Linked DNA regions of Bombyx mori. The protein of the gene in region 1 interacts with the protein of each later gene in a pairwise test. Links are inferred from orthologs where the notes say so. Each region holds a gene or a part of one and is shown on either strand. Other genes may lie near its edges.

Region 1 (3,596 bases):
TGAGATCTTAGAACTTGTATCTCGAGGTGGGTGGCGCATTTACGTTGTAGATGTTTATGGGCTCCAGTAACCACTTAACACCAAGTGGGCTGTGAGCTCGTCCATTCATCAAAGCAATAAAAAAAAACTCAAACATCTGCTTTAAAATACATGGATAGATTACTAAGCCAGTGAAATAATGAAGAAAAAAAAACAATATTCTAATGTGAATAATAAAAATAATAGGTTGATCATTGTGGACAAGTGCACTCTGTTTTGAAATTTACCATACTTTTTTAAAGCAGCCTAACTGATTTTTTTTACATTAGAAACATGATGACTCTCCTTCTGTAAAAATAGCTTTCATATGAGTTTGTGTGTAGTTATTTTTCCTTTTAAGTCTTAATATTAAGAGTGCAATTTAATTCGTTATTAAAATAAAACCCCCTAAACGTTATCTATAATATTATTATATTAGAAATAATTACATTTTAAAGTATCATGCCCTTGCAGTCCTTGCCCATTGTTGAGATGTAGAAATTTAAAAAAAAACCAAATTAATTGTTTGCTTCTAATAAGGACTATTTGTTTGATATTTAAATTATCTTTGATCTTACATACTCTGTAATAAATATTTTTTTCATTTTTAAAGAGGAAATTTAACTCATTTTTATTAAATTTAAAAGTTGTTTATTTATGCATTATATTTTTTGTTTAAACAAATGAAATTAAGGACATTTTCAATATTATAAAAAAAACATGGGTCATGTGTCACATTTATTGTAATTTTAATAGTGGCATTTAAATTAAAGAGCATCAACTTAAGAGATAACAAAATTATTCACAAACTTCTTTTGTATTGTACATTATTAATACCCAATAAGTCAAGATATGTATCTCGATATTAGAAGCACAAAGTCAAATAAATATCTTTCATTTAGATTTTTTTTTGTGTTTTTTTTTGTAATTATATTAGTAAGTAGTAGTCTCAGTAGTGTACAAAAAACACACTAATGGGAAGTGAGACTGAAGGAGCTTGGTAGAGTTTTTTACTATTGGTAATACTAGTGTCTTAGAAAACTTCAAATCTACCTACTAAAGATTGTTTTTTTTTTTTCATAATTTGTTTAACAATCTTATCGTAATCTTGTTACACAGATATCTGCCATACAGACATCAAATTACATGTCGAAATAACGAAATAATAATTATGAGACCTTAAGCCCTAATTCCGAGATATAACAAATAATTTTCTATAAAATACACACTGTCTATAATCACCATTCCGCATCACCATTAGCCTTTTGGAATACATAATCCTTTCCAGCTAGATTCATGATTCCATCTTTGAGATAGAACTTCCACCTATTGCGACTGCGTGTAATTTTATCATATTGGCAAACAACTACATTATCAGTATCAAACATGTCCCCTGGCTCCTCATCAGATACATCATCACCGGAATTTAGGGGTTCTTCTTCAGCACCACCACTTTCATTTTGTTCTTCTTCTTCTTCTTCTGCCCGCTCTTCGGGAGAATCGTCATCATCATCATCATCTGCTGCACCGTCTTCTGAACCATCACCTACGTTTGAGCCATCATCATCAGAAGAGTCCAAAGCACCATCTAAAGAGAAAGGAGCAGTTCCACTGCGGCCGCCTCCGCCGCTATCAAAATCACTTTTTTGTCCTGCTAAAGCCGAGTTGATATGTTGTTGCAGTAAAGTAGCAGCTAGAGGTTGTGGAAGGCTAATGGTAGCATTTATTATAGGACCTGTTAAGACCTGATGCAGTTTGTTGCCGTTCAGAGCTGATGCTGGAATTTGAATGGTAAATGAACGAGGCTGGGACCCTGGAACTCCAGGTTGAGCAGGTAATGTAAGCTGAACTGGCACTTTATTATTAGGGTCTAGAATATGATGAGTATGCGTTCCAGCTACACTAGATGCTGGTGCACTATGTTCTTGTTGCCCCGAAGTATGTCCCATGTCAGTTCTTTTATGCACTACATTACTACCATTTACTTTTTGGAAATTCTGTAACACTGGAGGAGGTGGCAGCATCGGCTCAGGTTGTAACGGGTCCGTGGCTCCACTGGCTTGAAGCTTTGTCTTCCATAGTTGTTTTAGTTCTTGTAACACTTGTTCGTCTACACCGTCATCTAAGAAAGAATTTCTCACTCCGGATATCACGTCGTCTACCACTATGTTGTAAAGTTTCAATACTGCGAGCTGACTCGTTGTCATTTTGCAATCGAGCTGTAGTTGAAAATTGTTTAACAGTGTAAAATGTTCACAGAACTAGATATTCTTGTTTCTAAATCTGTTTAGTTTAGTTTAGAGCCGATTATTTGTCTTCTGAGTTCACATCGCAACATTTCAATGTCAAATTTCTGGAATTCACACAGTTTGTTAATTCACTAATGTTGATGACCAATTTTATATATTTAAGATAATATGTGGCTAAAGTAGCTTATTTTAACTTTTATGACGTCCATTTACATAAAGAGAGACAAATTTATAAATTCACCATAAAAATTTTGACAATTGATCACTCAAACATAACCTACAAACCGAGGAAATATTTCGTAGCCTTTAAAGAAATAATTGTCTATGGTTCGTTGATTCCGACATTGAACGACGACAAAGATGGCGCATGCGTTATGAGTACGAGAAATAGCACCGCCCCGCACCGCGCCCCGGTTGATTACGTATTGGTGAGTTTGCGCCTTGGGTAGTTGCCTTTAAATTGATTTTACGGTTTGAAAGGAAAGAGCCACCACTTTAAAATTTCAAAACAAAATTGGCATATCTAAAATTTATTGTTATAACATTGAATGATGAAATTTAAAAATATAGAATTTTCACAAAAAACGGTATTCATTCAAAAAAATTCGTTACAAGCCAATTTTAATGAAATTCATTTCTACTTAAACCATTGTTAAATAATATTGACTAAATAATATTTATATTTTATTTATATTAAACTATTGCACTGTTGAGTACAAGCAACGCAACACTCAATTTTATCTTGTACTATGAAAACTTAAAGACTTCATTCTTAATAAAACCGCATAATAGGACGTTTATGAAACAAGAGTAACTATAAACTTAATTGTTATTTTAGATAGATTTTTCAGTTTTTCAGTGGTTGTAAAAAATGTTGATTAAAATTGGTGGCATAGACAATAATTGAATTTTAGTATTTTTGTGGCGGGAAATCCAAATGTTGGAAAGAACTTTTCGTCTTTGTCGAAGCTTTTCATTTTTTTTGTAACGAATGACGTTGAAGTTTTTATATTTAAAATAGGGGCTTAAACTTATATAGTTGAAAAGGTAGTGTATAATAATATGCTTTCGTTATTAATTTGACATCAATCATCATCAATTCATTTGACTCAATACATTTCTTTCTGTGACAGATTTTTAAAGCACGACAATTGGTAAGAAGGTATTCTAATGGAACATTCTTATATATTCTGACTTCAATATAATATTAAAAATTTATAAATATCAAAATATGAGGGTTACAGTACTCATTTACCTCAATTTTCTTTTAGTAAATATTGTAACGAACAAAATCGATACCAATGCCGAATGAAACACGGTTTTTTCAGT
Region 2 (3,537 bases), on another chromosome or scaffold:
TACAACAAGTACAAGTACAAGTGCAAGTTTGACCTTTCCTAGAAGTATTTTAATATGACACTGTTCAACATAGTTGCTTGAATGTAATATTAAATTATCATTTTCAGCGTGACACCAGGTAATCGCTTCTTTTCCAATGTACTATCATATAAACTGATAGAGTGGAATGCATTCCTATTCCCCGAAACCAAGCCACTGCCTTTAACCAAGAAATCTACAGATCACGTATGTGTACGTGATTATATCTGCAAATCAGTTTTTCCTTTTCCCTTCAACCATTATTTAGTTTTGAAAAAGCCTGAGCTTTAATTTGCGTTTGTGGTATTTCCTTAGCCCTTTTCTAAAATCTTCTTCTTTAACCGTGGTTCAAGCCATAACGGCAATCAAAGGTGCTATACGCCCTCTCATTCACGACCACGTGACTTATATTATCACGTACTCTTTATTGTAATTTTATTTCTAAATACGTAAACAAAAAACACTCAATATTACTCTTACCATACCAAGAATGTGCTTCAATCATCATCACCAACGATCATCGTATCATATGATAAGGTATCAATATTGATACCTTTATAATTAAGCAACATATGTCTCAAAAACTATTAATAGGTATTGTGCATATTGAAATATTGTCAAGTAACCTGTTGGTGTATGACTGGCTTTATGTCTCTTAATTTAAATATAGTTTTTTTCTGTATATACCTATCTACGTTATGAAAAGTTATATTTATAAATTTAAGGCAGGATTGATTTATTATCAAATAGGAACATCAACTAAAATGCTATTTACGCAATAAGATAAATTCAAGTGAAGTATGTACACAGTTTCAATTTTAGAATACGAAAATACACTAATGCAAATTTCTACTTTGTTGATAATATAAATGTGTTCTATCGTACATATTGAATTTTCAATGTCTGTTTACGAGTTTTTTTACTGGAAATTACAAATATGATACTTATTTACATCAAATTATTTAATCTAATACTTATTATTGTTTATTGCTCCTTTGAACCACTACAGAGGAAGACTATATGCATCATGTAACCTTCACAATGATAATATTTCACATTAAGTTTAAAAGAAAATAGATAATTTAATTAGTATGTAATATTATGAGATTATTAGCATTTCGGATGATATTTGATAAATTTTAAATTTGCCGCTTTTACTTAGTTACGAGAAGTTACGTGAAATGAAATGTTTCTATTTCGATTTAATTATGGCGGACGATGATTGAACGATAGCATATCTTTTATTTAGTAGGAACGAATTAAAGTAAATAAACGTTAATGTAATTGTCGGAAACAGTCCAACACCGTGAAGGTGTAGTGCCGGGGTGGGCGGATACAAGATATGGCCGAGAATAGAAGTTCGGACAACGTCGTCATGCCGGACATTACCGAAGTATCCGAAGCCGATCCATTGTCGACGGCGACCGAGCACGACAACGAGCGGGTGGAGGGCACGTCTGTGTTGTCTACCACCATCAAAAACACCCGGCTGTCCAATGATTCTAACGGAGTTGTGACTGTACCAGTCTCGTTGCCAGTTGGGACGCTCATCGCGGGTACCACCTTCAACGTAATCACGTCAGACCATTTGCCGCATTTCAAGCCAATGATCTGCGTTGACAATGGTTTTATTTCGGGTGGGCCAGTGAGCGATGAGTTAAAAGCAACACACATCGTCATCCAGAACCCTCCTTCTCCTACTCGAACTAATTGCGAGGATGTGGTGGTAGCTGCGCCTGCGCCGCGATCGATGAGTGCACGATCATGGACGGAGACTGCGAACATGCCAGTGCTGCCGGTACGCTGTAAAAATACATCAGCAGAGCTCCACAAAAATAAATTCGGTTCAGGGGGCAGAGGCAGGTGTATCAAATACGGCATAGAGTGGTACACTCCTAGTGAGTTCGAAGCTCTATGTGGCAGAGCCTCTAGCAAAGATTGGAAGAGGTCTATAAGGTTTGGTGGAAGAAGTATTCAAGCTCTCATTGATGAGGGTATTTTGACTCCACATGCTACAAGCTGCACTTGCGGAGCTTGCTGTGATGATAAATCTGGTAAGTAATGCATGTTAAGTATGCTACAATTGAATATATTTTGAATGCTAAATTGCTGTGAATTTTTAAGCAGTAGTTTTATTAGTATTATTGTGATTATAAACCTGTAATAATGAAATCTACAGCCATGGGACCAGTGAGACTATTCACTCCATATAAAAGAAAGCGAAAGGAAGAAAGAAGTGAGAAGAAACCAAAAATTAAAAGAGAAAGCAGCATTGGAGAGAGTGAAGTGGATAACATACACCAGAGCAGTGAGAATAGTCACTCAAAAGAAGCTTGGCAGAGCATCGCTGAGGGTTTGGAAACTACTACCGATTACCAGATACTGGGGAACCCTGAAATCAAGACTGACCCCCCTCCAAGTAAATATTTTTATATCATAAATATTTATATGTTGAATTACTAGCCTTTGCTGGCTATTACAGCATTCAAAATAAGATTAGAAAACAAAAAAGCTAACTAGGATATTTTTCATTCTTTTGTATTAGAGCACATATTAGATCTTAGCGGCATGGGTGACATTAATTTAGATCTCTTTACTGTGACAAATATTTTGCAATAACTTTGCTAAATGTTGCAAATTGCGACCACTTGCGAATGGAAATTATTATTATAACATTAAATATTTTACTGATTAGTGACTGTATAAAATAAAATTTTAAATGAAATTAACAATTTACAAATTGGATGACAAATTTACAATTGGATGCTCAAATGGAGCATGCATTATGTATGTACTGGTTTTGATGTTACTAAGACAATTTATGCCTCATTTAAATGATAATAATAGTCAATTTAAACATTAATGCAAAAAATTGATATTTACGTATTTTTTCTCAGAAGTCTAGAGTTAGGTGTCTCTATGTTGTTTAAATTGATTGACAATTTAATGTAGATTTTTTGAATAAACAGCTTGCGTAAAGTTCAAGAATTTACATTGTTTTCTGTAGGCTATCAAAAATACAAGCTAAGCTATCATTAATTAAAATTCTGTTTGCAATGCAAAGAAATGGCAATGGCAACCATATACTTAAGCGAATTTTAAAAACAATTTTAACAAGAATTTTGTTTATCAACTATGGCATTTAGTAGATGATCATACCACTTAGATCATCTTAAAAGCTCTGTATAACCTAGTTATACACTACTGCTGCACCATCTCAACATTCAGCATGTGTGTGCCAAGCGTAATGCCATTATATCATCCTCTTATTGCTCATGCCTAACTTTTAAATATTTTCTCCTCCATCTGCCAAGAGGACTTCTTTGTAATAATAGTTCATTATCGGTCAAGTGGCCAGTGATTTCTTTTGTTGTTATTATCCTACTGTTATTTAACTTAACTACTGTTATGCTGGCAGGTAATTTGAGTTTTATTTATATTAGGGTCAGTGTCTATTGACTTAGGTAAATTAATAAAAAATTGTTGCAATAGAGATGTCATTCCTGTAAATATGATGAG
Region 3 (3,818 bases), on another chromosome or scaffold:
ATAGATGGGCTACATTTGATTATGTTTTGTTTGAATTTGTGTAAAGTTTGGCCTAGTTTTTTCATAATTTTTTTGTGAATTAAAATATTCCAATAAATTTTTGTTGTATTGTTTGTATCGATAAAATTGTAATATTGTTCCAATAAAATTTTATGTAGTAAAATGTCGAGTGTGGTTTTTTCCAAATTTATTAAGAAAGCTGGTATCACTGATTCTAGATTTTATTTTTGTTAGACTTTTTGGCGGAAACGCGAGGAGTGAAGTTGTGTGTTTTGTTTTAATTTGTCTATTTTGTGTTTCTTCAGGTTTAAATGTCTAGTAACGGTGGTTTATCAACTGTTTAGTATCTGTAAAAGTGCACAAATGTGGGAAAATGTCATCCTATATCATATCACCTCATCTCATTTCATTTCATTTAATTTCATGCCATGCCATGCCATGTTTCATAATAAATTAATCAGCTTCATTTCATAATACCATATTTCATATTTAAAAAAAAAAATTTAAGGTTTCCATTTAGAAGAATAAAACTACTACTACTACCTTAAATATAATAAGTGTATAATCTATGACTGCCATTTCTATGATTTCTACTTGTAATCTTAGTAAATGACCACCATTTTACTGAGATTAGATTTCATCTCATATCATCTCATTTAATTTCATCCTAGTTGATTAATGTCTCAAATTAATCATTTTCATCATTTCACTCCATAATAACATTTTTCATAAAATTAAGAATATAGATTAAAATAAGACATGACTTAAAGATCTCAGTTACCAGGTCATAAAATCTCTTAAAAAAAATGATTTCTACTTGTGGTTTATTTTATATTTCGTGAATACAATTGAATACATATTAATTAATTTTCAACTATTATAGTCCAGCGCTTAAAGAAAGTTGAGTGATTTGGTTGCGAATCCGCATATCTCAATATTATAATGATTATTGCTTACCAACTTCCTTAGGTATCTTTTGAAAATAACGTATATTGGAGTAAATAATCATCATGTCAGTTAAAAAAAATGTGGAAATTCAACACAAAATTAAATTAAACCCTAAACTCGCAAGTTCTTTGCGGTGTATGCAATGGTTAAAGCATCAGAACAGTCCATCAAACAAGAAGGTTTTACAGTCAAAGAATGATGTCCTATTCGTTCAGACGAATAAATTTGAAAAACCCGAATTTTCAAATCTGGACACAGAAGATACCATTCCAGACGGTGTTAACGAATCTGTCATTAAACCAAAGACTGTGGTGAGCTTCATTTATTATGCACCGAAATGCTATGAAAAATATTAATTGAATATAAAGTTTGCATCGTTTTCTATTGAAACTAGGTGCATGGAGAAAATTTTAATCTCCCTATTTTGTGTGCTTTATTTATTTTGTTGCCTCTATGGGTGGCAGAGCTCACAGCCCACCTGCTGTTAAGTGGTTACTGGAGCCTATAGACATCTACAACGTAAATGCGCCACGCACTTTGAGATATAAGTTCTAAGGTCTCAGTATAGTTACAACGGCAGCCCCACCCTTCAATTCGAAACGCATTACTGCTTCACGGCAGAAATAGGCAGGGTGGTGGTACCTACCTGTGCGGACTCAAAAGAGGTCCTACCACCAGTAAAAAAATTCTGTACCATGGGAAGTGCTTTGAAAAATAGTTGAAAATAACATCATCGCCATTTTATCACTGCATTGCTCGCCTACATGCTCTGTAAGACAGCTTACTGTCTTCAGATTTTCTACATCACAACCTTTGAAAACTTTTCTTGGGTTGTTGTGTTAAAATTGGATTGTGTTTTTATTGCTTAGTAAGTTGAATGAGCTAACAGTGGTGTTAAGTGGTTACTAAAGCCTATAGATAGCAGCAACATAAATGCCCCTAACCACCTTTTGACATGAGTCCTAAGTCTCAGTTCTAAATACAATGGCTGCTTCACACTTCAAACTGTAACTCTATTTGCTTCATACTATTGCTTTACTTATGAAAAGTATAAATAAAGATTCATTTCAATTTTTTTATTATTTGAAAATTATTTGTTTCAGACTACAAAATTTTTACGAATTTCCAAACTGAGCTTGGCTTGTGAGTGGCAGGGATGCAAATTATTAACCAATAATTATGAATCATATCAGAAACACGTCATCGCTCATTTCTCTGATGTGATTCAAATAATAGATAAGGAAGAAACTGGTTAGTCAAAGTGGTATGATTGATAAGTGTAGTTTTTAGCTGAATTAAGCAGTTACTCAAAAGTGGAGCCCATAAGATGCCAAAACATGTGTACTGTGGCCACCTTGAGATATAAGAATGAAGTCTCAATTATCTTCAAGTGGAATGCATGTATGCTCTATGGCAAAATCGTAATACCTACTGGTGGACTAAAATTATGATACAAAGATATAGATGAGTCGACTATTATCAAAGCCGGCAATGTGACTTTGGACAATTATTGGTAAATCAGAAAGACGAATTATTGACTTTGTATTCCATTGGCAGTCACTAAACTCTTCTGAACGACATCTTAGATAAATAACAGGTTAAGTATTAACCTTTATTTAATGCAGGTTTTGAACCGTATTCTTTGAAGGAGACGATTATATTCAAATCAATCTGAATTGACATATCAATAACATTTATTTGTCCAAATGCACAGATTGCCACGTTTGATAATAGACGACTCAGATGTTGAATGGGCTTGACTCCCATATGCCACTTGAAAGTCCTTATTTATGCATGTTTCAGAGAGCAAGCAATTCTAGATAGGGCAAAAAAAAAGGTTACACCTAACTGCTATATCTAGTTACATCAGACTTCTTATTAAATTTTGTAATTTAGTTTTTTTTTTATATGAATTTTGTTCACTCAATTGTTGTCTGGAATTGGTAGCTCCTCCAGACAACGGTCAAATGTTTTGCATTTGTGTTTATATTGGTATACAATAAAGCATACTCGATTCTTAATAAGACTTAATAACCATATTGTTGTGTTTATATTTCAGTAATGTATTCTTGTCTTTGGGATGTTTGTGGTCACAAAACAAAGGATTATAATGAGATGTTTCGGCATTTAAATTACCATGCTTATCATGGGAAGTTGCTGGCGATCGGCCTCAATGGTAGAGCTACATTAAAACTGGAAAGATGCAAGAAGAACTCCACTAAAAGAAATCAGTTACCTAATTTACCTAATGAACATATTTGCATGTGGACTGACTGCAATAGAAAGTTTAACTCAATACAGGTGTGTTACGAAAATATAACAAAAATAATGGTTTGATTAACAAGGACAGGCTTGCACTGGTGTTAAGTGAGTACTGGGGCTCATGAAACCCGTAGTGATAATCTGTACTTTAAGGCAGTCTTGATTTAATTTAAATAATACCTATCAAATTCATATAACCCATACACACACAGCCCACTGAGTTTCTCGCTGGGTCTTGTCAGTGGGTCGCGTTTCCGATCCGGTGGTAGATTCTGCGAAGCACTGCTCTTGATAGGGTCAGTGTTAGCATCACTCCGGTCTGATCCCGTGAGCTTACCCACTAGTTAAAGTTACGCTGAAATAGCCTCTCAAGGCTATCAGATTAAGTAGGAAAAAAAAACAAGGTTATGCTGAAATAGCCTCTCAAGGCTATCAGATTAGGTAGGAAAAAATAATAATCTTGAACTCAGAATTAATTGGGGGTTGCCATAAAACTGGACCAAGGTGGTCACGACCCTCAGTAATGAGGAAACGACAAAGAAGAAAAAGCCATAATCACTATGCTGAGCATGTGGGGTGCCATGTTATAAAACGCTGCCTATTCTATG

Evidence for each region.
Region 2: the proteins of transcription initiation factor IIA subunit 1 (region 1) and deformed epidermal autoregulatory factor 1 interact in a two-hybrid assay, tested with the Drosophila melanogaster proteins (2 studies listed by BioGRID). The link is inferred for Bombyx mori from reciprocal best matches to the Drosophila melanogaster genes TfIIA-L and Deaf1.
Region 3: the proteins of transcription initiation factor IIA subunit 1 (region 1) and histone H4 transcription factor interact in a two-hybrid assay, tested with the Drosophila melanogaster proteins (2 studies listed by BioGRID). The link is inferred for Bombyx mori from reciprocal best matches to the Drosophila melanogaster genes TfIIA-L and Hinfp.

Annotation. Positions count from the first base shown.
Region 1 is NC_085117.1:13,411,502-13,415,097, reverse strand, and holds transcription initiation factor IIA subunit 1, read right to left. Parts: upstream 2,748-3,596; 5' UTR 2,226-2,747; coding exon 1,257-2,225; 3' UTR 744-1,256; downstream 1-743. UniProt on the Drosophila melanogaster protein: TFIIA is a component of the transcription machinery of RNA polymerase II and plays an important role in transcriptional activation. TFIIA in a complex with TBP mediates transcriptional activity.
Region 2 is NC_085107.1:2,583,274-2,586,810, reverse strand, and holds the start of deformed epidermal autoregulatory factor 1, read left to right. Parts: upstream 1-737; 5' UTR 738-1,360; coding exon 1,361-2,072; intron 2,073-2,197; coding exon 2,198-2,437; intron 2,438-3,537. UniProt on the Drosophila melanogaster protein: Transcription factor that binds the homeotic Deformed (Dfd) response element. High affinity binding sites contain at least 1 TTCG motif surrounded by additional TCG sequences.
Region 3 is NC_085127.1:12,664,455-12,668,272, forward strand, and holds the start of histone H4 transcription factor, read left to right. Parts: upstream 1-806; 5' UTR 807-1,010; coding exon 1,011-1,259; intron 1,260-2,051; coding exon 2,052-2,199; intron 2,200-3,007; coding exon 3,008-3,249; intron 3,250-3,818.